Linked DNA regions of Pelodiscus sinensis. The protein of the gene in region 3 purifies or fractionates together with the protein of the main gene of each other region. This does not show direct contact. Links are inferred from orthologs where the notes say so. Each region holds a gene or a part of one and is shown on either strand. Other genes may lie near its edges. The genes, in order: COPZ1, COPE, COPG2 and NUDCD1.

Evidence for each region.
Region 1: the proteins of COPG2 (region 3) and COPZ1 fractionate together in Homo sapiens (co-fractionation; 5 studies listed by BioGRID and IntAct, with this or other methods). This does not show direct contact. The link is inferred for Pelodiscus sinensis from reciprocal best matches to the Homo sapiens genes COPG2 and COPZ1.
Region 2: the proteins of COPG2 (region 3) and COPE purify together in Homo sapiens (affinity purification with mass spectrometry; 5 studies listed by BioGRID and IntAct, with this or other methods). This does not show direct contact. The link is inferred for Pelodiscus sinensis from reciprocal best matches to the Homo sapiens genes COPG2 and COPE.
Region 4: the proteins of COPG2 (region 3) and NUDCD1 purify together in Homo sapiens (co-immunoprecipitation; 3 studies listed by BioGRID and IntAct, with this or other methods). This does not show direct contact. The link is inferred for Pelodiscus sinensis from reciprocal best matches to the Homo sapiens genes COPG2 and NUDCD1.

Annotation. Positions count from the first base shown.
Region 1 is NC_134729.1:1,253,854-1,261,194, forward strand, and holds the start of COPZ1 (coatomer subunit zeta-1), read left to right. Parts: upstream 1-4,332; 5' UTR 4,333-4,354; coding exon 4,355-4,474; intron 4,475-7,341. Other genes in the region: protein mono-ADP-ribosyltransferase TIPARP-like, read right to left, coding at 595-766, 888-1,243, 2,238-2,483. UniProt on the Homo sapiens protein: The coatomer is a cytosolic protein complex that binds to dilysine motifs and reversibly associates with Golgi non-clathrin-coated vesicles, which further mediate biosynthetic protein transport from the ER, via the Golgi up to the trans Golgi network.
Region 2 is NC_134729.1:19,360,053-19,367,551, reverse strand, and holds the start of COPE (coatomer subunit epsilon), read right to left. Parts: upstream 3,001-7,499; 5' UTR 2,952-3,000; coding exon 2,835-2,951; intron 2,171-2,834; coding exon 2,108-2,170; intron 1-2,107. Other genes in the region: putative ATP-dependent RNA helicase DDX49, read left to right, coding at 3,239-3,353, 4,109-4,232, 5,327-5,412, 6,429-6,550, 7,222-7,409. UniProt on the Homo sapiens protein: The coatomer is a cytosolic protein complex that binds to dilysine motifs and reversibly associates with Golgi non-clathrin-coated vesicles, which further mediate biosynthetic protein transport from the ER, via the Golgi up to the trans Golgi network.
Region 3 is NC_134711.1:3,627,601-3,635,437, reverse strand, and holds the start of COPG2 (coatomer subunit gamma-2), read right to left. Parts: upstream 3,005-7,837; 5' UTR 2,905-3,004; coding exon 2,868-2,904; intron 1-2,867. UniProt on the Homo sapiens protein: The coatomer is a cytosolic protein complex that binds to dilysine motifs and reversibly associates with Golgi non-clathrin-coated vesicles, which further mediate biosynthetic protein transport from the ER, via the Golgi up to the trans Golgi network.
Region 4 is NC_134712.1:29,337,165-29,345,053, reverse strand, and holds the start of NUDCD1 (nudC domain-containing protein 1), read right to left. Parts: upstream 3,003-7,889; 5' UTR 2,914-3,002; coding exon 2,679-2,913; intron 1-2,678.

The DNA.
Region 1 (7,341 bases), on a different chromosome or scaffold from region 3:
GCCCGCTGGTCCCCCGGCCACGCCACTCCCCCGGCCACGTATCTGCTCCAGCCCGCTGGTCCCCCGGCCACGCCACTCCCCCGGCCACGTATCCGCTCCAGCCCGCTGGTCCCCCGGCCACGTATCCGCTCCAGCCCACTGCTCCCCCGGCCACGTATCCGCTCCAGCCACGCTGCTCCCCCGGCCACGTATCCGCTCCAGCCCACTGCTCCCCCGGTCACGTATCCGCTCCAGCCACGCTGCTCCCCCGGCCACGTATCCGCTCCAGCCACGCTGCTCCCCCGGCCACGTATCCGCTCCAGCCCACTGCTCCCCCGGCCACGTATCCGCTCCAGCCCACTGCTCCCCCGGCCACGTATCCGCTCCAGCCCACTGCTCCCCCGGCCACGTATCCGCTCCAGCCACGCTGCTCCCCCGGCCACGTATCCGCTCCAGCCACGCTGCTCCCCGGGCCACACACCTGCTCCCTGCCTGCTGCTTTGTCCTGCTCCCCTCAGCCACACCCCCCCTCCAGCCACGCTGCTCTTCACACCAGACCACACAGGCCTTTCTTTTCTCCCCCGCCCCTCTCCTGGGATCCCCCCCTTCCCTCACCTCCTCGTACACGAGCCACTGGCCCCACTCCTCCCAGTACACCTGCCACTCCACGGGGAAGTAGGGGTTGCGGCTGGGGTCGCTGGTGTTGGAGAGGCGCCGGACGCGGTCGTAGAGCTGGTGGGGCGTCAGCTCCATGGAGTTGAGGTCGAGGGTCCAGGACGAGCCTGGCCTGGGGGGGAAGCAGGAGAGCTGTCACTGAGGGACACCCCCCCCCCCCACGCTGGCAGCGAGCATCTGGGCGACGCACCCACCTCTCCCGCCTGCCGGGCCACGTCCCCCCAGCCACCTACTTGTCCAGCAGCTGCACCTCGCGGTGGCTGGGGCTGCAGTAGAGCTTCTCCAGGAGCTGCTGGGCGGCGGGGCCCACGCTGAGCCACACCCCGTCCGCCTGGCGCCGCACCTGCCAGTGGAAGGGCTTGGGGGTGTGGTGGCGCAGGCAGCGGCCCCCCGCCGGGCACTGCCCCAGCAGGAAGTCATCGCAGATCAGGACGCCGTCTCGCTGGTGGACGTGGACCTCCTCCGGGCCGGCCAACTCCAGCACCTGCCCGCCCCGGCCCAGCCCCTGGGGCTCCGGCGCGAGCAGCAGGGGGTGCTGGGCCAAGCCGAGACGGCGGCGCTTGGGCTTCTCCGCCATCAGGGTCAGGCCCTAAGGGGGGGAGAATCAGGCCAGAGCTGGGGCCAGACTGGGTCTGGGGTTCAGCTTTCTGGGGGGCCACAGGCTGGCAGGGCGCTGGAAGGATCTGAAGGGGGATGCTACCCCCAAGGTCAGGGAACTGGTCCGGGGGGTGGGTCAGTGTTGGCCCCGACTCTGGAGCAGCTCACGCCTGATCATGGGAGGACTCCCCTAGGATTCCAGCACCGGGGGTAGGGGAATCACCCCCAATTTGCAGATGGGGAAATTGAGGCTCCGGGCCAAGGCAGGGGCTCGGCCAGCAGATCCGTGGTGGGGCTGGCAGAGGAACCCAGGTGTCCTGCGAGCCAGTCCCCTGGCCTGGCCTCCTGCCCCTCTTTCCCCCGTGCTCGGCTTATTATAGAGGGAAGCTGCCCCGATTCTCCAATCTGCAGTCCCCCCCAAAGCCGAGTCCCCCAGAGCCCCAGCGACTGGGACCACAGAGGTGAGGCCGGGGGCACAGAGCCAGCACTGCCCGGCTGCCAGGCTCCTGGGGCATTGACTCGGGGGGGGGCATGGGTCCCGGAGGCAGACAGACCGTCTCCTCCCCCACCCCTCCTCCCCATCACTCACCTCCTCTGCTGCCGGACAGGGCTCTTGCTTTTGCTTTTGCTTTGCTGAGTCACGGGTCCGCGGTGGAGAAGCCCAATCAGCCTGCCACCTGCGCAGGGCCCAGGGGCTGGGGTTTCCCCCGGCTCCCGGCCCTCCCCCCCCCCTCGCAGGGTTGCAGTGAGACCAGTCGGGGCCCGGCCCAACGCCCCACAACAGGGCAGGGCAGGCTGGGAATGGACGCCTTGCCCCCAGGAGCAGCCAGTGAGCCGGTGGTAAAGCAAGACAGAGAACCCCAGCTCCCCTCTAACTCCCTACACCCCAGCCCCTCCCCAGAGCCAGCAAGAGAAGCCAGGAGACCTGCCCCCCCCCCCCCACGTCCCGCCTCCCCATGGGCACCGCCAGGAAATACAAACACGACCTTGGCACAGCGTCTGCCTGGCCCAGCTCCACTTTCTCTTTCAGTTCCGCTCCCTGCACCACGCTGCCCGTGGCACACGGAGCCCAAGGGGGGGGCAGGACCAGCTGCACAGAGTGGCACCTCCTTGGGGGGATGTTGTGGGGAGTGGCCCTGCGGGGGGGGGGGTTGCTTTTGCTCTTCCCAGGGTGTAACCGGAGTGTGGCTTGGTCTCTCACTGCCCCCACCTGCTGCCGTCCAACCAGGCATAGGCCGGAGCCAGGCCTGAGACAGGATTCAGCGGATTTCCAGGAGGGGTGAGAGGTCTCTCAGTGCACAGGGCATCTCCAGTTCATCCCTGGCCTCTGCTCTATGCACCCCCCGCCCATGTCACTGCCGCCCCAGACCAAACCCAGTCAGCCAGCTGAGCCACGCCTCGGCTGCACCAGCTAGCCCAGAGCTGGAGCAGTCCCAGGATGGCGTCCCACCGCACGGCTGCAGCCAGGGAAGAATCCTAGGAGGGGAAGGGACCTTGAGACGTCAAGTCCAGTCCCCCGCCCTCACGGCAGGACCCAGCACCGTCTAGATCATCCCTGGCAGGCGTCTGTCCACTCTGCTCTTAGATATCTCCAGGGAGGGAGATTCCACGACCTCCCCAGGCAACTGATTCCAGCGTTTCACCCCCCGGACAGGTGGGAAGATTTTCCTCATGTCCGACCTCAACCTCCCTGGCTGCAGAGCCTTATTTGTTAAGGAACAAAATAAAGTGCCGGTGACCATAATAATAAAAGAAATCCGTCTCCGGCACAGCGAGAAGATCCGCCCGGCTGCAGAGTCTAGCTTCCCCTCTGGGCCTTATTGCTCCTTCTGTGCACGGCTGCTCCGCCCAGCCCCCTTTCAGAGGGGTTCACCCCTGTAGCCAGGGAGCCAGACTGGATTTCCTCTGAGTCCCGAGGGGCAGCCTGGCCTGTCATACGCTTTCTGCCCCTCTCTGCCGGGTGCTCCACACAGCTCGGCTTCCTCTAGCAGAGCCCACCTCTTGTTACCTCCTTCTTTCCGAACCTCTTTCCAACTGCCTCCTCCCCAGCTGAGCCCCCGTCCCTCGGCTTCAGGAGCTGCCCTCTCGCTAGGGGCGGGGTCCCTCTCCCCAGGCAGCGTTGTCTGCTGCTGCATCACAGCTGCAGGGCCCAGCACTCCCCCTCTTGCTCCAAAGTGCAGCAGAAGCTGGAGCTGGGGCAAGTGTAACCCCCGGGAGGGGGGGGGGGATTTCACACTTTTCCCCTCGTGACCCAGTTTGGAAAAAATTGCGGATGCGCGTGACCCAACGTAGTGTGGCTGGGGCCGAGGTGGGGAGCTTTGTGGGGCAGGAGGGGACTCCACTCCCACGGGCCGGGAACCCGCTGCCGGCTGCGTCTGGGGCGCAGCCCGGTGTGAGGGGCCAGGCGGAGCAGGACGCTGCCTCAGCCCCCGGTGCACTGCAGACAGGCAGCAGGTTCCCGGCCGGCGGGAGTGCGGGGCGAGTGCTCGGGGCAGGGAGCCCCGTGTGCTCCCCCCACCCCAGGAGCCAGGCCAGGCCGGGGGCTGCCTTAGCCCCCCGCTCTCCGGACCCCTGCAGCCCGGGCGACGCTCCTCAGCCCAAGGCCCTGGGCCCTGCTGGGGGGTGTCGGGGCGCGGGTCAGGGGCCCCCCCCCATGCCTGGGCCATGTGCCCCCGTGGGGCTAGCGGGGAAACTGAGGCACGGGGTGGGGGGGGTGACATATGGAGGTCACATGGGTGCACACCCCCAGGGGGAGCCATTGGCCTGCGGGGGGGAGGGGAATGACTGGCCCCGCCCACCAGCATGACTCCTCCCCCTGCCCTCAGGGTCATGACCCCCATGAAGGCGGGTCGGGGCTGCTTCCGGTCATGTGACGTGCCGGCGAGGGGCCTGACGTCACCGCTTCGCTGGTCGCCGTGGGAACTAGCCCGCCCTCCCGGCGCTGCGGCGGGGGCGGAGCGAGTGACCGACAGGGGCGCCTTCCAATCGCCGAACACGCTCTCCGAGGGCGGTGGGGCGGGGCCCAGCGGGCCCCGCCCACTTATTGGAAGCCACTTTCTGGTTGGCTGGCCGGGATAGGGTCGCCAGCCAATGAGCAGTTAGAATGCGGAAGGGGGCGGGGCCCCGAGCTGCGATTGGCGGGCGAGTAACCAATGGCGCGCGGCCCCTGTCGCTCCGGCTCCACGTAGGCATCGCGGAGGGCAAGATGGAGGCGCTGATCCTGGTAGGAGCGGGCCGGGGGAGCGGGCGCCGCCGGGGGGGGCTGAAGGGGGAGGGGCACAGCCCCGGGGGGGGAGATTGGGGAGGGGTCGCTGCTGATGGGGGAGGGGCACAGCCCCGAGGGGGGGAGATGGGGGGAGGGGCACAGCCCTGGGGGGGGGAGATGGGGGGAGGGGTCGCTGCTGAAGGGGGAGGGGCACAGCCCCGGGGGGGGGGGAGATGGGGGGAGGGGTCGCTGCTGATGGGGGAGGGGCACAGCCCCGGGGGGGAGAGATGGGGGGAGGGGTCGCTGCTGATGGGGGAGGGGCACAGCCCCGGGGGGGGGGAGATGGGGGGAGGGGTCGCTGCTGATGGGGGAGGGGCACAGCCCCGGGGGGGGGGAGATGGGGGGAGGGGTCGCTGCTGATGGGGGAGGGGCACAGCCCCGGGGGGGGGGGAGATGGGGGGAGGGGTCGCTGCTGATGGGGGAGGGGCACAGCCCCGGGGGGGGGGGAGATGGAGGGAGGGGCAGGGCTGATGGGGGAGGGGCAGCTCTGTTAAACCCTTCAGGGCAGCTCTGGTCTGGGGAGGGATCCGTGGGGCTGGAGCCAGGGTTGGGGGATGAATCTAGGGGAGTGAAAACCTCTGTGGGCTTTGTGTGTCTGGGCCAGCAGCTGTTCGAGGGCCGGGAAGGTGAACCTGCCATGTCTTGGCGCAGAAACATCCCCGGCCTCAAGCTTTTATTACCTTGTACCCCAGAGCCCAGCCGTCCGGAGGGTTGTTCTGAAGGGTGAAGTCGTTCTGTGGGTACGATTCCTTCCCAGCCAAGTAGCCGGCTGGGTGATCCGGGAAGCCCTGCTACTTGCTTGCCCGTATTTTTTGTTGGCGAGTCAGGGCTCCTGGCTTCTGTTCCCAGCTCTGCCACTGGCCAGCTGCTGGACGTGACGTCCCTGCCTCAGTTTCCGCTGCTGTCGCCATCTTTCTTTGTAAAGCGGTCGGAGGCCTACTGAGGCTGCCGACACCTGGTCTAAAGTGCCCTTCTGTCTTGCTGCCCGCAGCTCCCTGCCTCTCTCCTTTGTCTGCAGACAGATTCCCTAGTCGCCTTTGCTGCTAATAATACTAAAGTCCGAGCCACAGTGCTTGGCTGCGTGCATCTCTCCTCTGGCCCCGTGCCCTAGTTCGGGTCCTGGCAGCGAGAACCGGCTGTGGCACAGCTACTGTTTGCGTGCTGGACGGCCGAGCGCCCGCTTGCATTGGCTGAAGTCTCATTTATTGACACGTTTGAATGACACCGTCAGCCCCGTGTGTGCCCCAACGCGGGGCGTCTTGTTGGCTTGACACGGCCCTCGGCCCAAACCAAAAGCCTCCAGAGAGACCAGGCCGCAGCGTCCCGCCCGCCGGGCCCTCTGCCCCAGAAGCGCGTGTTACAGCTTTAAAACGTGGGTTGCTTCGCTGTGCTCCGCAGTGCAGCCTGGCTCCGGAGCCGTGTAAAATCCTCTGGCTTTCTCTGCCGGGCTTGCGTCTCCTTTCCGCGCAGAGGGGCTGGGAGGGGGAGAGGCAGCGCTTTTCCCTCTAGCTTGCCAGGCTACTGAGAGTTACAAGCCAGGTGCCAAAGAAGCTTGTGGCTTTTCAAGCTGCTTCCTTTGGATTGTGTAGCCCTGCCCTCCGGGTCGGTCCCCTTCGCCGCCTCTAGAGAGGCTGGGTCCAGTTGAGGGTGAGCCGTCTGGGGGGCAGGGCTTGGAGGGGAACCTAGATCTGCAGGGCTGCCCATCCAGCTGAGCCCCGCCTTGGAGGGGAATCTCCGGACCGGGACGGGATGCAGTTACGGGCCGGCGTGGGCTTGAATAAAGCAAAGTGCGTCTGCAAATCCCATCCGGCCACGTTGATTCTGTGCGCTGGTTAGTGGAGGAAGGGCAGTTTAACCCCTCACGCGCTGGGGGGGATTAAGCGAATTCGGAGTAAGGCCCCCTTAGCCCGGAGCGAGAGCGTCCACACGCTGCGTTAATGGGATTGACTCCCCATGGTGACAAGCCCAGAAGAGTCACTGGTCACTTGCGGTGCTGTCCGGGGGGGCAGCGGGTGCCTGGTGCCTCTGAGCATTGGGCCTCAGGTTGTGCGCCCCCCAGTCAGACCCTTAGGGTGCCCCACAAAAGGAGGACCCTCCCCCCATGGCTTGGTTGCTCCTGGCAGGTTCAGCCCGTGGTTTGGATTCGGGGCTGGGGCTGAGCCCGGCTTTCTGACGGGGCCCTTCCTGAGGGCAGGGGCCGCAGGATCTGGCCCATTCCCTGCCGCCTCGGCCGTGCTTGGCTCCGGGGGGAGCCCCCTCCCGAGAAGCCAGGCTCCTGTCCTCTCCCCCTGCCCCTGGAGACACAAGGAGGAGCCACTCTGGGGAGGGGCCCTTGGGGTCGCAGAGACGGGGCCCTGCCATGCTGTGCCCCAGGGAAGCCAGTCGGGGGCCCGATCCTGGACTGTGCTGGGCACTGGCGGCCTCGATGGAGGGCAGAGGGCATCCCGGGCGATTGGCTGCATGTGGGGCAGGCCCTGGCAGCCTCCCCCAGGGGCCGGTTCTCCTTGGCAGAGTCTCAGCTGCAGGGGAGGTTACCGGGCCCCGCTGGGAAGTGCCTTGCCCGCCCCTGACCCACAGGCGGGTGGGTTCCTGCCCCGTGGCCTGGCCGGGGGCCTGGGGGGCCCGTGCCCCGATGCGGAGCCGCAGCGTTTGAGGTGAAGTTCTGTGTTACACTCCGGCCGTGGCTACGAGGGGTCAGTGCATCACAGAACTTTGTCTCGAGAGCTTCTTAGCGTCTGTCTCCTGGGCCCCCCACCCCCTCGCGTGCTCTGCAGCCCTCGCCGGGGGGGTCCTGGCCCACGGGGGCTCTGCCGCAGGCTGGCTGG
Region 2 (7,499 bases), on a different chromosome or scaffold from region 3:
AAATGAGACAGACACCCCCAATCAATGCAAGATCATTATTAATGAATCCCCACTGTTTGTGGTACTAACACAATGTGAGAGTGTTAAACAAAACTTTTAAAAGCCACTTTTCACAATGTATGCTATATTTTATTTGCAATTTACTTAAATTCTCAGGGTGTGTCTAGACTACAGGGTTTTGTCGACAAAAGTGGACTTTTGTTGACAAAACTATACCTGCGTCTACACTGCCGCTGAGTTCTGTCAACATAACGTCGACAGAACTCAGCAGTTTTGTCGACGGCGGTAAACCTCATTCTATGAGGAATAACGCTTTTTGTCGACAGAGTTCTGTTGACAGAAGGCGTTACTGCATCTACACTGTCCTTTGCGTCTACCCTGTCATGTCAACAAAGCGTGTCTAGACTACATCCAGTTCTGTCGACAAAGCAAGCCGCTTTGTCGACAGTATCTGTTGACAAAACTTCTGTCAACAAAAGCCTGTAATCTAGACGTATCCTCAGAGGAATATCTGTATTTGTCTGTTATCTGCAAAAATACCAGGGAGCCATGTGGCACCCGAAAACTAACAGATTTATTTGGGCATAATCTTTCATGGGTACAAAAGATTATGCCCAAATAAATCTGTTAGTCTTTACGGTGCTACAGGACTCCTCGTTGTTTTTATGTAAATTGAGTAATCATTTTCATACTGTGATTCACATGAACTATTGAGTGAGCTGGTAAGAGCTTCAGAACAGATCATTCAATTTCTAACCCAGGAAGCCCAATAGGAGAAGTCCGTGGAATGTTTAAAATCCAGCCTTTTAAAAATTATTTGAACTACAAAGCCTTGAGAAGAGAGAAATATGTTCATGACCACACATTCCAAAATTACTCAGGGGTTTTTACTAAGCATGGACTATAGGGGCAGGGCAGAGGGGTTTCAGCCCCAAACTGAAAATTTTCAGAAATACATCAAATGCCTGAAACCAGCCAATAAAAAGGTCAACAAAAACTATTCACGCTCCTCCCTCAAGGCCAACCAACCTGAACGGGCAGATTAACCATGAAGAGAAGAGTTACCTCAGAGGTAAAAATAAGCTGGTAGGGCATACTGGTATGAAAGCGGCTGAAGCATTTAGTACAGGTTAAACTGTAGCAATAAAAAAAAAATCAGATATATCACTTGAATTCATAGATTTTACATTCTCTCAAAACAAAATTGCTCCCCTTCGGCCTTTCCTTGGCAGGTGAAAGGCACTCTCGTGGTTCTGAACATTAGCTTTTGAGTTCCGTTTGCTTCTTATTGGTCAAGTCTGTCACGGCAGGCACATAACTTAGAGTAAGTGGGGAAAAAATGCCGCCTAAGAAAATAAGACATTCAATAAACCCTAAAGGGCCAACGTGCAGCACATTCCTCTCACATCATGGGGGCACAACGAGAAGAGCAAGATCAGCTGTAAGGGCAATCAGAGAATTATAAAACATTTTATTTTAGAGCATCGGTAGTAGTTTTAAGGGCATGTCTACACGGCGGACGTTAAAGTACTGCTGTGCAGCGCTGTAATGTGGCTGTGTAGTTACAGCCCCTGCACCGGGAGAGGGTTCTACCAGTGCTGTGATAAAACCACCTCCACGAAGGGAATAGCTACCAGCACCAGAGCACTGTTTACATGGCCACTTTACAGAACTTACACTTGCATCATCTGGGGGTGTGTGAGTGTGTTTTTTCACACCTCTGAGCAAGGAAAGTTTCAGCGCTGTAAGTGGCAGTGTAAACAAGTTCTCTATATCAAAAGCATGCAAAAGGATCCATCAAGTTAAGTGTGTGGGAGTGGAGAGAAATGGGGTTGCAATATAACCGCAACAGTAAGAAACTGAAGTTACTTTCACTCCTGGATTTCTCCAGTTGCAAAGATGGGGAAATTCAGGCCAAAAAGGTCTAGCAAGTTTATACTGTGCTCATCACAGTGCTAATCAGGGTGGAGGGGATGGGCCCCAAGGTGGTAGGAGAAATCAATGTCAGACCTCAAGAGATGGAGGTGCTAGATTTGAACTCAGAAATCCCTAATCTCAGCTCTGTTCTCACACCGGGCTGTTCTCCACACAGGGCCCATGAGCTCACCTGGGCAATGTAGGCTCGGTATAAGAAGACATCCCGTTCCACCTCCCTTTCTGGACTGGCCAGCTAAAGGAACAAGGGGGAGAAGAAGATTCATTATCCAGCAATATTCGACCCCTGAAATAATGACACAGTACTGAGCCAGGAAGTGACACCCATACCTCAGTGGGGGAAAAGACCCACTGGGGTCAGTGTTGGGGGGGGGGCACACGAAGATGTAATCCATGTAAAAAGAAGAGGGAAGAGTCCCCCGTGCCAGGGGGCACTGGAATTTGATTTGGGTGGGACAAGAGGGGGTGCGAACACCCCCCCCCACAGGGAGGGGCTAGGTGTGAGGGGGATGGGCACACCCCCACAGGGCGGGGCTAGAGGAGGTGTAAAGAGGGGGGATGGGCACACCCCCACAGGGCGGGGCTAGAGGGGATGAGGGAGAGGAAGACCCCGTCACGGGGCGGGGCTAAAGGAGGTGTAAAGAGGGGGGAGGGGCAGAGGGGGGAGGGGGCTAGAGGAGGGGAAGGGGTAGATCCCCCCCACAGGGCGGGGCTAGAGGCGCTGTAGGCAAGGGGGGAGGGGGTTAGGGGAGGTGTAGAGGGGGAGGGGCAGAGGAGGGGAGGGGACTAGAGGGGGGAGGGGGTAGATTCCCCCCCCACAGGGCGGGGCAGGGCGAGGGGGGAGACTGCCCGTCGGGGGGGGGGCAGAGGAGCCCGGGAACCCCGCCCCCCCCCCGCACCTTGACCCGCTGCGCCTCGTTGATGGCGGCCTGGTAGGCGCCGATGTAGAAATTGTTCTTGACGTCGAAGAGCTCGTCCGCGTCCCCCCCCTGCCCGGCCGGGCCCGCCGCCGCCATTTCCCCCAGACCCGGACACGTCTCCGGAAGCCGGGCCGCGCACAGGACGCTGGGGCTCGTAGTTTCCGGCGCACGCTAAGGACGGGGCCAGGGGGCTGCGCGGTAAAACACCGGCACCGGAAGTGGGCGCGGAGCGGGGCGCGCCGGGAGTGGTAGTTTTCCCGGGGGGGGGGGGGGCTGCGAGCGGGGAGCCAATGGGAGCGGGCGGGGCTGGTGACGCGCATGGGCAGCGCCGGAAGTGGGCGCCCGTCGCGTGCGAGGAGCCGGCGCGGCCTCTCCCCGGTGCCATGTCCGGCTTCCGCGCGCTCGGGCTGGCCGCCTGGCTGGCGGAGCAGGCGCAGCAGCTGGGCATGGGCCGCCCCACCGCGGTGCAGGCCGCCTGCGTCCCGCCCATCCTGCAGGGTGAGGGGAGCCCCCCCGGAACCCCCCCCTCGTGACCTCCCCCCCCCCCGGCATCCCCCTCCGGCCCGGCCCCCCCCCGATTCCGGCCCCCCCCCCCGCATCCCCCTCCCTTCCCCCTCGGGACCTGCCCCCCCCCCCGGCATCGCCCGGACCGGCTCCCGCTTCCGCCCCCCCCCCTGCATTCTTCTCGGGACCTGCCCCCCCCCCCGGCATCCCCCTCCGGACCTGCCCCCTCCCTCTCGTTTCTGCCCCCCCCCCCCCGCATTCCCCTTCCTTCCCCCCTCCGGACCTCCCCTCCAGGCCTTCCCCCTCCGCCCCCCCGCATCTCCCCTTATGGGGCTCCCCCCTCCGGACCTGCTCCCTCCCTCCTGCTTCTGGCTCCCTTCCCCCTCCGCCCCTTCCTCCCGGCATCCCCCCTTTCTGGGCTTCTCCCTCCAGACCGCCCCCTCTCTCCACTCTGGGCCCCCCCCGGCATCCACCTACAACCTATGAGGGCCCACCCCCCATTATTCCCTTGTTGGGGTGCCCCATTCTGTCTCTGCCCCACTGGGCACTCCCCCTTCCCTCCCCCCCGCCCCGGCATCTGCCATGGTGGAGCCCCTGGTTCTTTTCCCCTCTCCCCCCCCACTCTGTGTTATCACCTGTGTCTTGGAGTGAAAATGTTCCCTGGCTATCGGGGTCAAGTGGTGGAGGGTTGAAGGGGCTCTCCCGGTTCTGCTCCCCATGCACATTAACCAGGAACCGCTGATCCGCAGGTCGCGACTGCATGGGCTGCGCCAAGACTGGCAGCGGCAAGACGGCTGCATTCGTCCTGCCGATTCTGCAGAAACTCTCTGAGGATCCCTATGGTATATTCTGCCTGGTGCTGACGCCCACACGGTGAGCATGAATCGTGTCTCTGGGTTTTTTTCCACAAACCCCTTTGTCTCCTGAGAGACATGATTCTCGCCATGCCACTCCGTCATCAGAGGAGAAGACAGCTTCATCTGTCACTGCTCCAGCCATGCCTGGTAATGGGATTTTGAGTGTGTGGACCTTTTAGGAATAGCTATATTGACTCATACCAATAGCCCATGTCTAGTGCCTTGGCCCTGACAGCAGCCAGTACTAGATTCAGAGAAAGGTACAAGGGAGGTGGATTGGTATATTCTCCCTCCCCTAAAGTGTTTATGCCGAATATTTAAGCGTTCTCTAGTTTCAATGTTCAGACCAAGACAGGAGATGGGTGCTGTGTCTGAATTGTTCTATATTCTTTAATCTTACCCTGTTATGGCTTTCTGTGGTAAACAAGCCCAGTCTTTTCATTCTCTAGTCGCTGATCTCCTGCCATGTGACTGCAATATAACCACGGCATTCGATCAGATTTTTTTTAACCTGCCAAAGGGCAGCAGATGTTGGGCAAACAACTTTCCTGGTTGCTGCTGCTGTCATTTCCCTGCATTCCTGGTTGTCTGCATCCTGAGCACCGGAGTTTGGAGCAGTGCTGCTCCAGAGTGCCCATCCTGCTAGGACCAAGTCCTGCCAGCGTAACCCTCAATAATTTCTGGATCGCAGGAGAAGGGTTTAACAAGCTGCCTCCGCAATGGTCCCCTTTGCTGGGATCCACTTCTCTTCGTTTAATTCAGCCTCCCCCAAAAGAATTCCCCTCAGGATCAGAGAACTTCTCAGCCCTCGCTGGGGTGGCAGGAGCTTCCTTCTTGGCCTCGGAGGTGCACGACCCTCCTCCTTGGGCTGCATTTGTTAATTCAGGCCAACTGTGGTCTCCAACTAGTTTCCTTTTTACCTTAGTCCTTTTTGCCCTAGATTGGGGGATCTTAACAGCTGCTGGTATCTGGGACCACCACCTTTTCACTGAGCTCTGGGGACCTTGGCAGGCCCAGTACTCACTAGGAAGCTGGTTGTCAGGTACTGCTCACACACGGGCGGATGCTGCTCTTTCCACGTCCAATTTTTCCCTTCTTTTTCTCCACCAGGGAGTTGGCCTATCAGATTGCTGAACAGTTCCGGGTTCTGGGGAAGCCGCTTGGCTTGAAGGACTGCATCATCGTTGGCGGGATGGGTATGTGCGCGCTGGTTAAGAACCGGCCTCTGTGCCAAGACGAGGCGCCGTTCGTTAAGTCTCTCATTCGCTTTAAGGGGGGCTGCTGGGCCGTTTCAGTTCTGAAATCTGTGCCGCGACTGGGGGAGAAGGCGGTTTTAGGGAAACCGCTTTTCCCAAACGTGGAATTGTCTAGTTTCAGGAAAGCCTTATACTCACCTGAAATGGACCAAAATATAGCGATTCTCACCCGTTAACAGATTTCTCTGGATTTAATGTATGGCGGTCCCTTCCCAGCAACGACAAGGGGAGGGCTAAACTAAGGGTTTGTTGCTGGTGTCCTTTATCATTGAGGGGACACTCTGAGCAGACATGGCTGCCAGCTGTGTGATTTGTTGTTCATTAAGAAACAAACAGAAGCCCTCAAGTGCCTCTTAGTGAACTGCCCAGTTAAGCCGCATTTGGGTGCCACTGTGGCCCGGTCTCTCGCTAGGAATGAGGCAGTGTCCTTGTCACGCCTGGTGGGTGAGACTTTCTCCCTTGGACGCTACATTCTTTGCCAGGAAGTTGTTGTGCTCTGCCTAGGGCTACGTCTACACAGAAGAGGAAAGGCAAATGAGTGCGAGATTTGCATTTCCTCTTGCGAAAACCTGCCACAATATAGATGTAGCCTAGGAGGTGTCAGACCGACGCTATCGAGCGTCACTCCAGTTTGCTCAGGCTGGGATTTTCAAACGCGCCTTTGGAAATCCTGCTTTGTGTGTTGTCCCCTCGCAACATTACGTAGCTGGAGAGGGCTGCTGAAAAGGCCGAAATAGCAGATGCGTTTAAGAGAAACCTGTTTCTCACAGTGGTGTCCTGGGTTTCTTCCTCTATGTGGTGCCAGTTTTAGTGTCCAGCCCTGTGAGATGGGGCGTGCCCTGTTCCCCTTGTGGTGGGTGCGACTTAAGGGCACTGAACGTGGTGTAGGATGAGGCTGGCTGCTCGCCCGGGCCCAGGCAGCACATAGCTCAGCCCCCTTGGTGGTGTTGTTCCAGACATGGTGGCCCAGGCTCTGGAGCTCTCCCGAAAGCCTCACGTCGTCATCGCCACGCCTGGAAGGCTGGCCGATCACCTCCGCAGCTCCAACACCTTCAGCCTCAGAAAGATCAAGTTCCTGGTAAGGCAGCTCTTCGGCTGCGGCGGGGGGACCTTGGGCTGGGCCGACGTGCTTGAGTTTTCCATTAGCCGAACAGCCACGTTTCCAGCTGCTGGGGTGTGGAAATGGGCCGGCTTGTCCCAGAAGGGGCCCTGCAAGAGAATGAGTTGATGGCGCGTGTGAGGAGCCCCTCACCATGGTATCAGGGTGCTGACTGACGGAGGGCGCCTGCGTTGGTGGACACAGCCTCTCTGCGCCCAGTCACTCTCCTGCCATCATGCAAAGGCCCCTCTCTTGTCTTGCCTGTCACCTGCCGCGTCAGTCGCACGTCAATCCCTCTGTGTAGTCACCTCGCTGAGTTTGGGGCGGCCACTAGCTATGGTGAAGCATTTGGGGGCTCAAAATCTGTCCGGGGAAACTTGTGTTAGGCCTCATCGCTGTGAAACAGTCTCCCTTGCCCAGTCCTCTGCCATACCTCGGTCATGGCCCCATGTGGCGCTAACACATAACAGCGTGAGATGGATTGCTCTTACACCCAGCTGGCAAGGCGGGGAGGGCTCTCTAGAAACTGAGGCCGAGAGACGGTGATTTCGCCCTGGCCACAGAGTGGGCTTTAGCGCTGGGTTGGGAGGCCAGGAGGCCCTCTGCTAGGGGTTGCCGCTCCTCAGCCTGGCTTGTGCTGCCCGTTGAAGGTTCTGGACGAAGCCGATCGACTGCTGGAGCAGGGCTGTACCGACTTCACCAAGGATCTGGAGGTGATTCTGGGGGCAGTTCCAGCCACCAGGCAGACGCTGCTCTTCAGTGCCACGCTGACGGACACGCTGAACGAGCTGAAGAGCCTCGCCATGAACAAGCCCTTCTTCTGGGAGTCTCAGGCCGAGTAAGTCTCCCCAGGGTGCGACAGAGTCTTGGGCTTCCCCCAGCAGCCAGCGTTCCGGGCGGCGCTCCAGCGGATCGGTGTCTCCCTTCC
Region 3 (7,837 bases):
CTGTTTGAAGGATATGTCTACACAGCCCCTTGGCCAGAGCCCAGTAAGCCAGACTCAACTGGCAGGGGCCAGCTGTAGGTGTCTTACTGCAGCCTACACATATCCCTGGTGTCAATAGCAGCAGGTAATTGACAAGACTTTTGACAGTTTCACTTCTGCATAAGGGCTGAGGATGTGGGTTTTGCCCACGAAAGCTCATGATATTATATATATTTTGTTAGTCTCTAAGGTGCTACAGGACCACCTGCCATTTAAGTGTTTTAAAGTTACAAACTAAGACAGCTATCCCTCAGAAGTAAAATTGGTTAGTCTTATTAGTTCTACTCCTTTGTCCCTCTGAACTTTGCCAAGAAACAACAGCAGCAAGGGAGCTGTGTCTGCAGAATTAAGAGGTGACAGTTCCCTGTTGGAAGATTATTTTCAGAATTACAAGGTCTCAAAGAATTTGCTAAATATAAAATGTAAATTCTGAAAAGACTCCTTGCTTAACTCCTGCAGCCACTCATAAAAGCTTCCCATTCATGAGAAGATTTTTTTGCCCCCGAACACTAGCATATAGTTATCTACATGTCTACTAGGCCATAAAGAAGTTGACACCTTCAAGGATTGGCGTAGCAAACCATCATGCTAATGAGCGGAGAACATAATACTTTAATTAAATTTTATTAGACCCACTTCAGTTGGTGAGATAAGAGCTTTTGTGGCTCAAAAACAAGATGAAACAGATGCCACACTGAGGCCAGATCAACACTAAATGAGGAAGGTTGAATTAAGATACACAATTCCAGCTACATTAATTATGTAGATGGAGTTGATGTACTCTATGCTCCCATTGGCTTCCCTTATTCCTCACAAGGAGCAGGAATACTGTTGACAGGGGGACCCTCTGAGTTTGATTTAGCAGGTCTTTACCAGACCCATTAAATCAAACTCCAGAAGATCAATTGCAACAGTGTTGATCTTCTCTGTAGTAAAGATGTGGCCTCAGAATACCTTACCTGATGAAAAGCTCCATGTGGCTCAAAAACTTGTCTCTCTCACCAACAGAAGTGGTTCCAATAAAAGAGCATGTCCTTCTTGTCTCCATAATATCCCGGGACCAACACAGCTGCCTACTTGCCCCACAGAAGTGACACCACACCAAAAATGTGACAATAGCTTTATCTGGAACACTGAATGTGCTTTTAAATTCATTATGAAAGAAACTGAACTGTGCTGTTCCCCCAGCCCAACACGCTGGGGTGGGCGCGTGCATAGGCCACGCTAGATCTGACCATTGGTCCATCGAGCCCCGCACCGGTGTTCCCTGTAAGCGGCTTGTGCGGCAGCTCAGGAGAGTCCAGTGCCTCCCCGCTGGCTGGCAGAGCGGCCCATGGCTAGGTCTGTGTTTCCACTGATGGTGCACGGGCGCAGGTAAAATTATTCCACACATTGGATGGAAAACGGCAGGCACATTACCCAGCCTCCCACCCCCAACAGTCACCAGAGGAAGGGCGCAGAACAGGGCCACGGATGAAGCCTCCCTCCTGCTGCCAGGCCTGAAGCCCAGCTGCCTCCACCGGGCAGCCCAGAAACAGACTGAACCAGCTCCCACTGCTCCCGCCCACAGCCAGAGGGGCAGGGTCACCCCGCAGCCAAGCCCCCCAGGAGCAGTCAGGGCTGTGCCCCCCACAACAGTGCAGAGCGGGGGGGGGCTGGGTAGAAACACCCCCCCCACGCCCTTACGTGTAGTCCAGCCCCCCCCCCCGAACCGACTGGTCCGGCCCCTTGGCCCCCCCCCTCACAGAACCGACTGGTCCGGCCCCTTCGCCCCCCCCCCTCACAGAACCGACTGGTCCGGCCCCTTCGCCCCCCCCCTCCCAGAACCGACTGGTCCGGCCCCTTCGCCCCCCCCCTCCCAGAACCGACTGGTCCGGCCCCTTCGCCCCCCCCCTCCCAGAACCGACTGGTCCGGCCCCTTCGCCCCTCCCCCTCCCAGAACCGACTGGTCCGGCCCCTTCGCCCCTCCCCCTCCCAGAACCGACTGGTCCGGCCCCTTCGCCCCTCCCCCTCCCAGAACCGACTGGTCCGGCCCCTTCGCCCCCCCCCTCACAGAACCGACTGGTCCGGCCCCCTCGCCCCTCCCCCCTCACAGAACCGACTGGTCCGGCCCCTTCGCCCCTCCCCCACAGAACCGACTGGTCCGGCCCCTTCGCCCCCCCCCCCCCACAGAACCGACTGGTCCGGCCCCTTCGCCCCCCCCCCCTCACAGAACCCACTGGTCCGGCCCCCTCGCCCCCCCCCTCACAGAACCGACTGGTCCGGCCCCCTCGCCCCCCCCCTCACAGAACCCACTGGTCCGGCCCCTTCGCCCCCCCCCTCACAGAACCCACTGGTCCGGCCCCTTCGCCCCCCCCCCCACAGAACCGACTGGTCCGGCCCCTTCGCCCCCCCCTCCCAGAACCGACTGGTCCGGCCCCCTCGCCCCCCCCTCCCAGAACCGACTGGTCCGGCCCCCTCGCCCCTCCCTCCCAGAACCGACTGGTCCGGCCCCCTCGCCCCCCCCCACAGAACCGACTGGTCCGGCCCCCTCGCCCCCCCCTCCCAGAACCGACTGGTCCGGCCCCCTCGCCCCCCCCCCACAGAACCGACTGGTCCGGCCCCTTCGCCCCCCCCTCCCAGAACCGACTGGTCCGGCCCCCTCGCCCCTCCCCCCCACAGAACCGACTGGTCCGGCCCCCTCGCCCCTCCCCCCCACAGAACCGACTGGTCCGGCCCCCTCGCCCCTCCCAGCGGGGGCGGCAGGCGGGCCGGGCTCTGCCTGGCGGGCCTGCCCGGAGCGGGAAGGGGCGGAGACCCCGCCCGGGCCGCGCCCCTCCCCCCCGTACCGGTCTCCTCGTCCTTCTTGTCGAACTTCTTAATCATCTCGGGGCCGCTCGCTTCCCTCAGAGCCGCCGCAGCCGGGAAAGAGCGCCCGCCGGAAGGCCCGCCCCAAACCCGGCAGCGCACCCTACGATTGGCCCGCCGGCCCGCCATTCACCAGGAAGCCACGCCCCCCCCTCGGCCTGCCCCGGCTTGACGCCGTGTTCCACGCCCCCTTCCAGCCTAGCCGCGGCCTTCCACATCCGGGACACGCCCCCTTGGCTCTCCGGGTGGGAGCGGCTCCCATTTAAAGGGACAGCGCCCCTGGCTGGGAGCAGCGTCTCCTCTCCCGATTCGCTTCCGCGCCGCAAGGGGCTGGCCACGTGCGTTTGAATAGGCTCTGCACCGTTAGGAGCAGGAGTGTAACCAGAAGTTTAGGTGAAACAAAAGACAGGACTACGGAATATTCATTATCCCCAAGATAATCATTATCTAAGATAATTAGATTGTTTATTGTTTTGATTATTTGATTATTTATTGTTAATCTAATTATCTCATAAATATCTTACAATAAATAATCAAATAATCAAAACAATAAAGAATCTAATTATCTTACCCATTACAAAGGTAGCTTCCCCATTTATCACCTCTAATATCATTAGCTCACAGACATTTACCTGCCCCCGCATTCCCCTTCTGTTCTGAAATTTGATTTGTCCTTTTCATATGTGTTCATTTTTTTTTAATTGTATCCTTTGGTATATATGGTTGTGACAATTTTCTTCCACTATTTGATCTGAGGAAGTGGGTCTGGCCCACGAAAGCTCATCACCTAATAAACCATCTTAATCTTTAAAGTGCTACATGGTCCTGTATTTTGTTTCAGCTACACCAGACTAACACGGCTACATTTCTATCATGATAAGTTTAGGAAACGTCACAATAATTATAAAATAGTGTCCATTGTTTCTAAGATGAATGGCTGCAGAATGAATGCTGAGTCTTGGGGATAATGAATATTCCGTAGTCCTGGGTGGGAGGCGTCGCAAAGGGTAGAGCCTCTGAAACCATCACTTGCTCCTTTGCACACAGCTGTACACGTGCTGGTCACTTGACAGAGATGCCCTCCATGTGGTCTTCCCAGCACCGCCCCCTCCCTATCCCGCCCCTTCACTGGACTGCTCACGTGGGAAAGGGTCAGCACGACTGGTCTGTTCTACTCATAAAACTGTGGTCAATCTAGCTCTGTTGGTCAGAGTTGTGAAAAATGTCACTGCCTTTGCAACATCTTGTAACCACAACCAGGTGGATTTGAACCTGGGCCTCTGGAGTTTAGTAGAGGAGCCTCTACCTTTTGAGCTAAAAATCTAGCTACCTCTCAAGCCATACTGTAGAGCAGTGGTCTCCAACCTTTTTACACCCAAGATCACTTTTTAAATCTCAGAACAGGCGAAGATCTACCGCTCCGCCCCTTCCTTGAAGCCCCTCCCCTTCTTTGAAGCCCCGCCCTCTCTATTCTCCTCCTGTCCATCACTTGCTATCCCCAGCCCTTACTTACACACTCTGATAAACAGTTTATTTTTAAATTATGCGATACATACAATTAAAATCACATACTATTAAAATCACGTGTTTATAGTTTTGAAATAAATGGTCTGTTTTTTATTCATGCTTTTTAAATCTAAAATGAAGCATTTATAATTATACATTTTGTGGGGACGGAGTACTGTGGCTGGGAGCAGGGGAGAGGGAACAGGGTGCTGGGAGGGCAGAGGACAGGATTCTGCAGCAGGGGACAGAGTGCCAGTGGGGACAGAGTTCGGGGAGTGGGGACGGGAGTGGGGACAGAGTTCGGGGAGTGGAGACGCGAATGGGGACAGAATTCGGGGAGTGGAGACGCGAATGGGGACAGAATTCAGGGAGTGGGGACGCGAATGGGGACAGAATTCGGGGAGTGGGGACGCGAATGGGGACAGAATTCGGGGAGTGGAGACGCGAATGGGGACAGAATTCGGGGAGTGGGGACGCGAATGGGGACAGAATTCGGGGAGTGGGGACGCGAATGGGGACAGAATTCAGGGAGTGGGGACAGTTCTGTAGCTGGGGACAGAATTCGGGGAGTGGGGACAGGAATGGGGACAGCATTCTGTAGTTGAGGACAGGGGAGTGGGGACAGGGGAGTGGGATGCCAGTGGAGGCAGAGAGTCTCCTGCATCTCCCTCCTCCCAGCATTCCCCCCCTCCGGAAACCAGCGTGTGCCTGCCCCGGGGCCAACCCCCCCCCCCCCCAGAGAAGCCCTGCGCGTGCACCTGCCCAGGACGCCAATCCCCCCACCCGCGCAAGGAAGCCCCACATGTGCGTGCCTGCCCCAGGGCCAAACCCCCCCCGTGCAGGAAAGCCTCGCGCGCACCTGCCCAGAGGGCCGACCCCCCCACCCGCGCAGGGAAGCCCCGCGTGCGCACGCCTGCCCCGGGGCAAACTCCCCCCTCCACGCAGGGAAGCCCCGCGGGTGCTTGTCCCGGCGCCAACCCCCTCCCCGCGCCGGGAAGCCCCGGGGCCAAACCCCAGCGCTCCAGAAGCCGACACTACCTCCGTCTTCTCTGGAGGTAAGTAGTGGGGCTTCTGGGGGGTGGGAGGGAAATGGGGGCGGGGCTTACAGGACGCCTCGTGAGCGACTGGTTGAGGCCTCGAGATCGACCAGTAGCTCGCGAGAGACCGGTTGGTGACCACGGCTGTAGAGGTCTCTTATGCTTATCTGTTGCTGTGGTCTAGGTGCCACTGCATGAGATGGTGAACCACACTAATGCTTTGTCTTCACTGTGAGTTCTTCCGGCAGAAACTATGTTAATGAGGGTCTGATTAGCATAAGTCATAATCTCATTTGCATATTTTCTGCCAATCCATTTTTGCGCTACGAGCTTTTGCGCAAAAATAAGCAGTGTGGACGTTTTATTTTTGCGCAAAAACCCTTTTTTGCGCAAGTTCCTTATGCCTCAAAAAAGGAGGTATACCGATCTTGTCCCAGCAGATCGGAGCGTCTTCTAAGCAGTATCTAGTCGAGCCGTGCTTGTGCAGCAGGTGTCTCACACGGCCGGCAGTTTGACAGTCGAGCGCTGCCCGACCCTCTCCCCTCAGTTCCTCATCTACCACAGAGAATCATAGAATCATAGAATACTAGGAATGGAAGGGACCTCGAAAGGTCATCGAGTCCAGTCCCCTGCCATCATGGCTGGACCAAATACTGTCTAGACCATCCCTGATAGACATTTATCTAACCTGCTCTCAAATATCTCCAGAGATGGGGATTCCACAACCTCCCTGGGCAATTTATTCCAGTGTTTGACCACCCTGACAGTTAGGAACTTTTTCCTAATGTCCAACCTAAACCTCCCTTGCTGCAGTTTAAGCCCATTGCTTCTTGTCCTATCCTCAGAGGCCAAGATGAACAAGTTTTCTCCCTCCTCCTTATGACACCCTTTTAGATACCTGAAAACGGCTATCATGTCCCCCCTCAATCTTCTCTTTTGTAAACTAAACAAACCCAATTCTTACAGCCTTTCTTCATAGGTCATGTTCTCTAGACCTTTAAATTCTTGTTGCTCTTCTCTGGACCCTCTCCAATTTCTCCACGTCTTTCTTGAAATGCGGTGTCCAGAACTGGACACAATACTCCATCTGAAGCCTAACCAGTGCAGAGTAGAGCAGAAGAATGACTTCTAGTGTCTTCCTCACAACACATCTGTTAATACATCCCAGAACCATGTTTGCTTTTTTTGCAACAGCATCACACTGCTGACTCATATTCAGCTTGTGGTCCACTATAATCCCTAGATCCCTTTCTGCTGTACTGCTTCCTAGACAGTCGCTTCCCATTCTGTATGTGTGAAACTGATTGTTCCTTCCTAAGTGGAGAACTTTACATTTGTCTTTATTAAACTTCATCCTGTTTACCTCAGACCATTTCTCCAATTTGTCCAGGTCATTTTGAATTATGACCCTATCCTCCAGATTAGTTGCAACCCCTCCCAGCTTGGTATCATCTGCAAACTTAATAAGCATACTTTCTATGCCAATATCGAAATCGTTGATGAAGATATTGAACAGAGCCGGTCCCAAAACTTAGCCCTGTGGAACCCCACTTGTTATACCTTTCCAACAGGATTGTGAACCATTAATAACTACTCTCTGAGTACGGTTATCCAGCCAGTTATGCACTCACCTTATAGTAGCCCCATCTAAGTTGTATTTGCCTAAATCATTGATAAAAACATCATGCAAGACCATATCAAACGCCTTACTAAAGTCTAGGTATACCATATCCACCGCTTCTCCCTTATCCACAAGACTCGTTATCCTATCAAAGAAAGCTATCAGATTGGTTTGACATGATTTATTCTTTACAAATCCATGCTGGCTGTTCCCTATCACCTTGCCACCTCCCAAGTGTTTACAGATGATTTCCTTACTTACTTGCTCCATTATCTTCTCTAGCACAGAAGTTAAACTAACTGGTCTGTAGTTTGCTGGGTTGTTCTTATTTCCCTTTTTATAAATGGGCACTATATTTGACCTTTTCCAGTAGTCTGGAATCTCTCCTGTCTCCCATGATTTTCCAAAGATGATAGCTAGAGGCTCAGATACCTCCTCTTTCAGCTCCTTGTGTATTCTAGGATGCATTTCATCAGGCCCTGGTGACTTGCAGGCATTTAACTTTTCTAGGTGATTTTTCACTTGTTCTTTTTTTATTTTATCTTCTAAACCTCCCCCCTTCCCACTAGCATTCACTATGTTGGGCGTTCCTTCAAACTTCTCGGTGAAGACCGAAACAAAGAAGTCATTAAGCATCTCTGCCATTTCCAAATTTCCCGTTACTGCTTCTCCCTCCTCACTGACCAATGGGGCTCCCCTGTCCTTGGTCTTCCTCTTGCTTCTAATGTATTTATAAAAAGTCGTCTTGTTTCCCTTTATTTCCGTAGCTAGTCTGAGCTCATTTTGT
Region 4 (7,889 bases), on a different chromosome or scaffold from region 3:
TATCATCAATTCACAGACACTTACCTTCCTTCCTTCCCCCCCCCCCCCGCATCCCCCTCCTGTTCTGCAATGTGATTTGTCCTTTTCATATTTGTTCATTTTTTTTAATTGTATCCTTTGGTATATATGGTTGTGACTACTTTCTTCCACTATTTGATCTGAGGAAGTGGGTCTGGCCCACGAAAGCTCATCATCTAATAAACCATCTTGTTAGTCTTTAAAGTGCTACATTGTCCTGCATTTTGCTTCAACTACCCCAGACTAACACGGCTACATTTCTATCACTACCCACCACTGGCTCACTGAGAAGATGCCATGAGGACCACTATACAACGAGCCAGACACCAGGAAATAGATTTTTTTTTAATTCCCAGGATTTGCAGTTGGGAGGGATGCATCTGTTTATCTGGCTGCAGAGCAGCAGAGTTCAAAGTACTGGCCACAGTGGCTAATTGGTCACTGAGGAAAACATGCTAGAGGTCAATAAACTCAACAAAAAACCTATTGTAGCATACACTACATGACTGGTTGACAATAAAGGGAAGGGAAGATAAAAACTTCCACCTCCACAGAAGAAGTTTGTGTCATCAAAACTGGGTGTAGTCACCTCTTGGAGAGTGCAGGGATGCTAATTTTTATGATTTGATCCCAACTCCCATAACATCCAATGTTTTTCTTAAAGCTCCATCTTATATCAACTTTACATGAAAATCTCAGTTTTCATTTTGAAAAAGGAGAAAGGATATCTCTAACAGCTGCAAAGACAAAGCTTTAAAATGTGCACTCTAAAGGCACAAAAAACTAAAAGGCTAATCAAAAGAACCCCCATTGTTTTACATCTCATGAATTTTTAAGCTAACCTTGTTACTTTGAGCTGTAGCTTATGAGTTATAAACACTTATGGTTAGCAATACTATGGTCTGCATACAGGCAATTCCCGTATCTCTGCTGTTTCTTGTAATTTTCCCAAGAAGCAAGAGTGAAAAGGCCCCAAAGCCAGTTTCAGAGCTTCTGTTCCCTGAGCAGCTTTGAAACTAATAAAGAACATGTAAATTTCACCTATGGCTGTTCATACATTTTTCAGGATTTGTCTACACTAAAAGGAAGATTGTCACTGCCACGATCCATCTTCCGGAGTTCGATTTAGCAAGTCTTAACTAAAGTGCCCCACTGGCACTCCTCCTTTTGCAAGGCGCAAGAGAAGCTAATGGGAGCATATTCTATGTAGCTAGAGTTGCGTACCTTAAGTTGAGTTGCCGGGTTTAGAGTAGACCTGGCCTTAGGCTACAACGACAGACACTAGAGTAAAACTTCTACCCACGAGAGTTTGGGAAAAGTCTCAGAATGGGAAGGAAGAAAATGGGCTGCTCTGCCTTTCCAAAAACCAGAAAAATCTGCAGGCTTGAAATTCATCAGGACACCTATTAAAAAGAGGTCGACATAAAAGATGGAATTGAAGGCTCACCTACAAGGACATCACTATATTACTGATGAAGGTGTATGAGGAGAGTGAGGCGTGTTAAAACGACAACTATGCGTTAATTAAATATTTTAAAGATCCAATGCTAAAATATAAAACCCTCAAAACCACTCAAAAGTTTTTCTTGAAGACTTACAGGGACTCTGGAGAAAGCGCAGGCCTACACTAGAGTCTGCTGCTCACATATATCAGTCAAGGATCCCAGCCCAGACTGACAAAGGCAACCTCTGTCTGTATTAGAAATGTTAAAATGCATTTAATTAACTATGTAACTGCTAAAAAAATGGTTACACGGTTACATGTGGGGTGACAGTCAGCTCCCTGGCAGGTGGTGTGTGCTGGGAGTCAGCTTAAGACGCCTCCCAAGGCACACCAGCTCCCACCTGCAGCCCCACTCCTGCGGAGCCAGCTACCACAGGAGTCTGCATGCACGTGTGAATATTAACTGATAAATCCAGAGTTACTGGTTAACTGTTTACATGGTTAAATTTACACATTCTTAGCCCATACTGCACACATGGCTCCAGGGCCTTGTCTATACTTACCCATTAATTAAGGCTCAGGAGAGTGATCTTCTGGCATTCGATTTAGCAAACCTAGTAAAGACTGGCTAACTTGAACGCTAAGGGTGCTCCTGTGAGGAGTAAGGCAAGTCGAGAGAAGCATTTCTCTCGGTGACCTCCCACTATGTGGACAGAGCCAAAGCTCGTATTAAGATAAGTCAACTCCTGCGAAGCAATTGACCTAGCGCGAGTTGCAAATCTTAATCTGAACTTATCCCTAGTGTAGACCAGAATGCACCAAAACCTGGAACAGTTACCAGTCAGGCTTGGCCTTGCACGGCAGGGGAGGGAATGTTGTTTCCCAATGATCCGGAGAATATTTACCCAGCCCTGTAGGGGAGCACAACCACAGCCTGCCAGGCACCTGGGGCTTGAATAATTTTACCCCACTGGGATGGGCAGCCGCCTCTGCCCGGAGGCCAGCAGCCGGGACATAGCAAAGCAACCCGCGGCGGAGAGGCTTCAGCCAAGCAAACACTAGCGACCTGGCCCTGGCAGCACCCACAAACCTGCCGCCCCGGGGCTCCCCGGCCACAAGCAGCCTCCCCCCCCCCCCCCAGGAGCCCGAACAAACCCTTCCCGCGCGCCCCCCAAACGCTGCTGCCCCGCCGCCACGTTTCCGCAGCGCCCCTCACCCGAGTCCAGCCCCAGTTGGTAGCAGGCCAGCGGCTCCAGGGACAGCTTGTAGCCCTCGAACTTGGGATCCAAGAGCTGCCGGTTCACCCGCAGGGAGCAGTTGGCCGCCGCTTCCATCGCCGTCGCTCGCGCCGGGAGTTGCCGCCTAACGGCGAAAAGTTTGGAAGGAGGCTGTGAGGAAGCAGGGAGAAGCCACTGGAGAAGGTAACTAGCGTGCAGTCCGCGGAGCACCATGGGAATGGTAGTTTTAGGGCTCTGGCCGCGAGGGGCTGCTCGGGCCAGTCGCCGAGCATGTTGGGAGTTGTATGCCGCACGGAGAGCGAGCCGCCTAGCGCCCCGATCGTGAAGCATGCTGGGCGTTGTAGTTTTTAAACCGAGCGAGGGAAAGCGCGTCGTGCACTCCATTTCCCAGGGTTCCCTGCGCGAAGAGGCGGGCAGGGGCTTGGCCGTGCTGGATTCTCCCTGGGAGACTGCGTCGCTTTCTTCTCCTACAGAGCTGAGCGCGCCGCCGCGGGGGTGAGTCCGGGGGTCCGGAGTTGCTCTCTCCAGGAGGGGTCAGGGGCGGGCGGGGAGCCGCGGGACTCGGCTTGAAATCCCCGCCCCCATTCCCGGCTCTGGGCCCAGGCCCGAGCTCCCCCGTGGTGTGGCCCCATGCTGCCCTGGCGGGCCGGGCGCTCCTCAGGCCGGTCTCCCAGGCCGGGGAAGGGGGCGTGGTCACTAGGCTGGCGGAGCGGGGCTGGTTATTGCCCGGTGGGGGGGGGGGGCTGAGAGCAGGCCGGGGTGGGCTCGCTGGCTGAGGAGTTCCATTCGGGCGGGCGGGCTGCGGTGGAATTGCGCCCTTGCTCCGGCAGAGGCTCGACGGGTTGCGGGGGCCTCTGGTTAAAAACGTTTCCTGAAATGCAGCGCCTGCGACGTTATCGTATCAGCCCCGCTTTGCCGGGCTGTGGCTCCATTACACGGGGAGGAGAGAGGCAGCCGCTCGGTGTGACTGACGCAAGCGTGGCCGGATTTGTTTGCCCCCCCCCAGTCTCTTATCTGAGCCTGGACTTGCACCACTCTGTAGTTCAGGGCAGTGAGCAGCCGTTCCTCAATCAAGTCTGGGCTGAAGTACCAGATCTCCAGGTTAGGTGATAGATGTGAAGTGGCTCGAGTCAGTTGTGTTGATCCTTTTATCAACATTAAACTACTAAATTAACACAGGCAGCAAAAACTTCTACATAGCTTCATCAAAATATCTGGCGTAATCTAATTACAGCCATGAATTTAAGAACTGTAGGGAGACAAGGTGGATGAGATAGTATCTTTTACATTAGAACCACAGTTATGGACTGACGTGTCAGGCAGCAACAGATTACCGCCCCCCCCCCCAAAAAAAAAAAAAAGGAAATGCAGTACAGTGTTAAATCAGGTGTGGGGAACCTTTTTTAGGTCGGGGCCAATGACCCACAGAAAAATCAGTTTTCTGTTGGGGGGGATACCCAAGTGAGAAGTGTGTGGGGGGGAACCTTCACTGTGGCCCCCAACTGAGGAGAAGACACTCCCCACATTCCATTCACACACCAGAGCCTGGTGGGGGCCTAGCCTAGTAGATTTTGTGGAGTACCAGTGGGGGCTGGAGTACCAGTATGGGTTCCCCAATGCTGGGCGGGGGTGGGGGAATGATCCTCAGGGGCTGGATCTAGGCACGCTGAGGGCTGCATCCAGCCCTGAGGTTCCCCACCCCTGGTGTTAAACTACTAAAACAGGCAGTTTTAAAAACTGAAAATGTAAGAGTACTTTTTCTGTTCTTGTTTGATTTAAATTAAGATGGCTAAAAGCAGCATTTGTCTTCTGAATAGTGACGTTTCAAAGCTGTGTTAAGTCAATGTTCAGTTGTAAACTTTCGAAAGAACAAATATAATGTTCAAAATTACAAATAGCTCTATTCCTGAGGTGTTCATAACTCTGAGATTGTACTTGTACTAGGCCGTCTTCTGTTGGTGATGGAGACAAGCTTTTCATAGAATCATAGAACCATAGAGCTGGAAGAGACCTTAGAAGGCCATCAAGTACAGCCCCCTGCCCAAGTCAGGACCAATCCCAATTACATCAACCCAGCCGAGACTTAAAAAACTCTAGGGCTATGTCTACGCTCGTGGCTTTGGCTTCTTGCGCAAGTACGGCCGTTGTTGCGCAAGAATCTGCAGAGCGTCCACACTGCCCGCCCGCTCTTGAGCAAGGAAATTTACAGTATGGCATGGTAAGAGAGGGCTCCTTGCACAAGAGTTATGCTCTTTTTTATCAGGTGTAAGCCCTCTTGCGCAGGAGCTCTTGCACAAGAGGGCAGTGTGGACGCTTGGCAGGGATTTCTTGCGCAAGAAATCCCTATGGCTAAAATGGCCATCAGAGCTTTCTTGCGCAAGAGAGCGTCCACACTGCCATGGGAGCTCTTGCGCAAAAGCACAGCACGCACGTGGAAGTGTGGATGATGTTCTTGCACAAGAACCCGCCAGTGTACACATAGCCAAAGAATGGAGACTCCACTATTTCCCTAGGTAACCTATTCCAGTGCTTCGCCACCCTCCTAGTGAAATAGTTTTTCCTAATATCCAACTTGGACCTCTCCCACTGCAACTTCAGACCATTGTTCCTTGTTCTGCCATCCATCACTACTGTGAACATCCTTTCTCCAGCCTCTTTGGAACCTCCCTTCAGGAAGTTGAAGGATGCTATCAAATCCTCCCTCACTCTTCTCTTCTGCAGACTAAATAGACCCAACTCCCTCAACCTCTCCTCATAGGTCATATGCTCCAGCCACCTAATCATTTTGGTTGCCCTCCACTGGAACCTCCAGTGCATCCACATCCTTCCTGCAATTGGGGGCCCAGAACTGGATACTCCAGATGTGATACAATACTCCAGACGTGACCTCACCAGAGCCAAGTAAAGAGGAATAATCACATCTCTGGATCGACTGGCAATGCTCCTCTTAATGCAATCTACTATGCCATTAGCCTTCTTGGCTATAAGGGTACACTGTTGATTCATGTCCAGCTTCTCATCCTCTGTAATCCCCAGGTCCTTTTCTACAGAACTGCGACTTAGCCAGTTGATCCCCAGCTTGTAACAGTGCTGGAATTCTTCCGTCCCAAGTGCAGGACTCTACACTTGTCCTTGTTGAACCTCATCAGATTTCTTGTGGCCCAATCCTCCAATTTGTCTAAGTCACTCTGGACTCTATCTCTGTCCTCAAGTGTATCTACCTCTCCCCCTAGCTTAGTGTAATCCTCAAACTTGCCTAGGGTGCAATCCATCCCCTCATCCAGGTTATTAATAAAGATGTTGAACAAAACTGGTCCCAGAACCGAACCTTAGGGCACTCCACTAGAAACTGACCGCCATCCTGACATCGAGCCATTGATCACTACCCGCTGGGCCCAACCTTCCAGCCAGCTTTCTATCCATCTTACTGTCCATTTAGCCAATCCACATTCTCTTAACTTGCTGGCAAGAATATTGTGGGAGAGCGTATCAAAAGCCTTGCTAAAGTCAAGGTATATCACATCCACTGACTTCCCCATCTCCCCAGAGCCAGTTATCTCATCATAGAAGCCATTCTGGTTGGTCAGGCACAACTTGCCCTTCATGAATCCACACTGACCATTTTTGATCACCTTCCCCTCTTCCAAGTGCCTCAAAATGGATTCCTTGAGGATCCCCTCCATGATTTTTCCAGGGACTTTTGAGCTTACTTTGAGCTTTTCTGGTCTGCCAACAGAGGGATGTACTCTAGATGTGCCTTAGGAGAATGCTCCTTCTGTGGCCACACTTTTAGTTCAAAACGCTGGTGTGGCTGCACTTTGAAAAGTGTAGACACAGCCTAAGTTCAGTAGATTTTTCTCACCAACAGAAGTAGATCCAACAAAAGATAGTATCTTGCCCACCCATAGACTAAAATATCTTGAGACTAACATGGCTACAATACTACTGCACACAACTTTAAGAGCTGTGAGTTTTTCTCTTTTTACCAGTTTTCTGAAATGAAGATGAAAGTGCAGAAAACACTAGTTATTCAGGAAGCAAAGATTATTGTATACAGTTTGACTGAGTCATCAGCAGTGAATACAGTAAACTTCCGATAATACGGCACCTTTAGGACCCAGAGGGTGCCGGATTATTAGTTTTGCCGGACTATCGGAAGGGGGGACTATAAGGGTTCTGGGGTGGGGGGAATGCCACCTCAAACCCCTCATAGCCCCCCCTTCCAATAGTCTGGCTCTGCCCCAGGCGTCCCTGATTCAGCCGCTGCTGGTCAGTTTCAGCAGCAGCTGAATTGGGGACGCCTGGGGCAGAGCAGCTGGGGTGCTGCTGGGTTGGTCCCGCAGCGCCACTCCTCGGCGCTACTGGACCAACCCGGCAGCACCCCAGCTTCTCTGCCCCAGGTGTCCCCAAGTCAGCCGCTGCTGATACTGATCAGCGGCTGACTCCAGGAAGCCTGAGGCAGAGCTGCTCTGCCCATGGCTTCCTGGAGTCAGCTGCTGGTCCGTTTCAACAGCGGCTGGTAGCGCCAACCCGTGGCGCTGCGAGACCAACCAGGCAGCACCCCAGCTGCTCTGTCCCAGGTGTACCCAAGTCAGCCGCCGCTGAAACTGATCGGGGCTGATTCCAGGAAGCCTGGGGCAGAGCAGCTCTGCCTCGGGCTTCCTGGAGTCAGCCGCTGGTCAGTTTTAGCAGCAGCTGAATCGGGGAAGCTGGGGGCATAGCAGCTCCAATGGTCCGGCTGCCTGGAGCACTTCCGGGTTCCTGATGGTGCCAGACCATCAGGAGTGCCGGACCAACAGATCCCAGACCATCAGAGTTTTACTGTACAGGCAGTCCCTGGGTTACGTACAACATAGGGACTATAGGTTTGTTCTTAAGTTGAATTTGTATGTAAGTCGGAACTGGCTCCAGATTCAGCTGCTGCTGAAACTGATCAGCGGCTGACTACAGGAAGCCCTAGGCAGAGTTGCTCTGCCCCCGGATTCCTGGAATCAGCCGCTGATCAGTTTCAACAGCGGCTGAATCTGGACTCCTGGGACAGAACAGCTGGGGCGCTGCAGGATAGGTCCCCGTAGGACCAACCCGGCAGCACCCCAGCTGCTCTACCCCAGGCGTCCTGCAACAAAAGCCTGGTCTGCTGGAGGGGGGAGGGCGCACTACCTGCGTTCCCTCCCCCCCCCCCCCCCCCC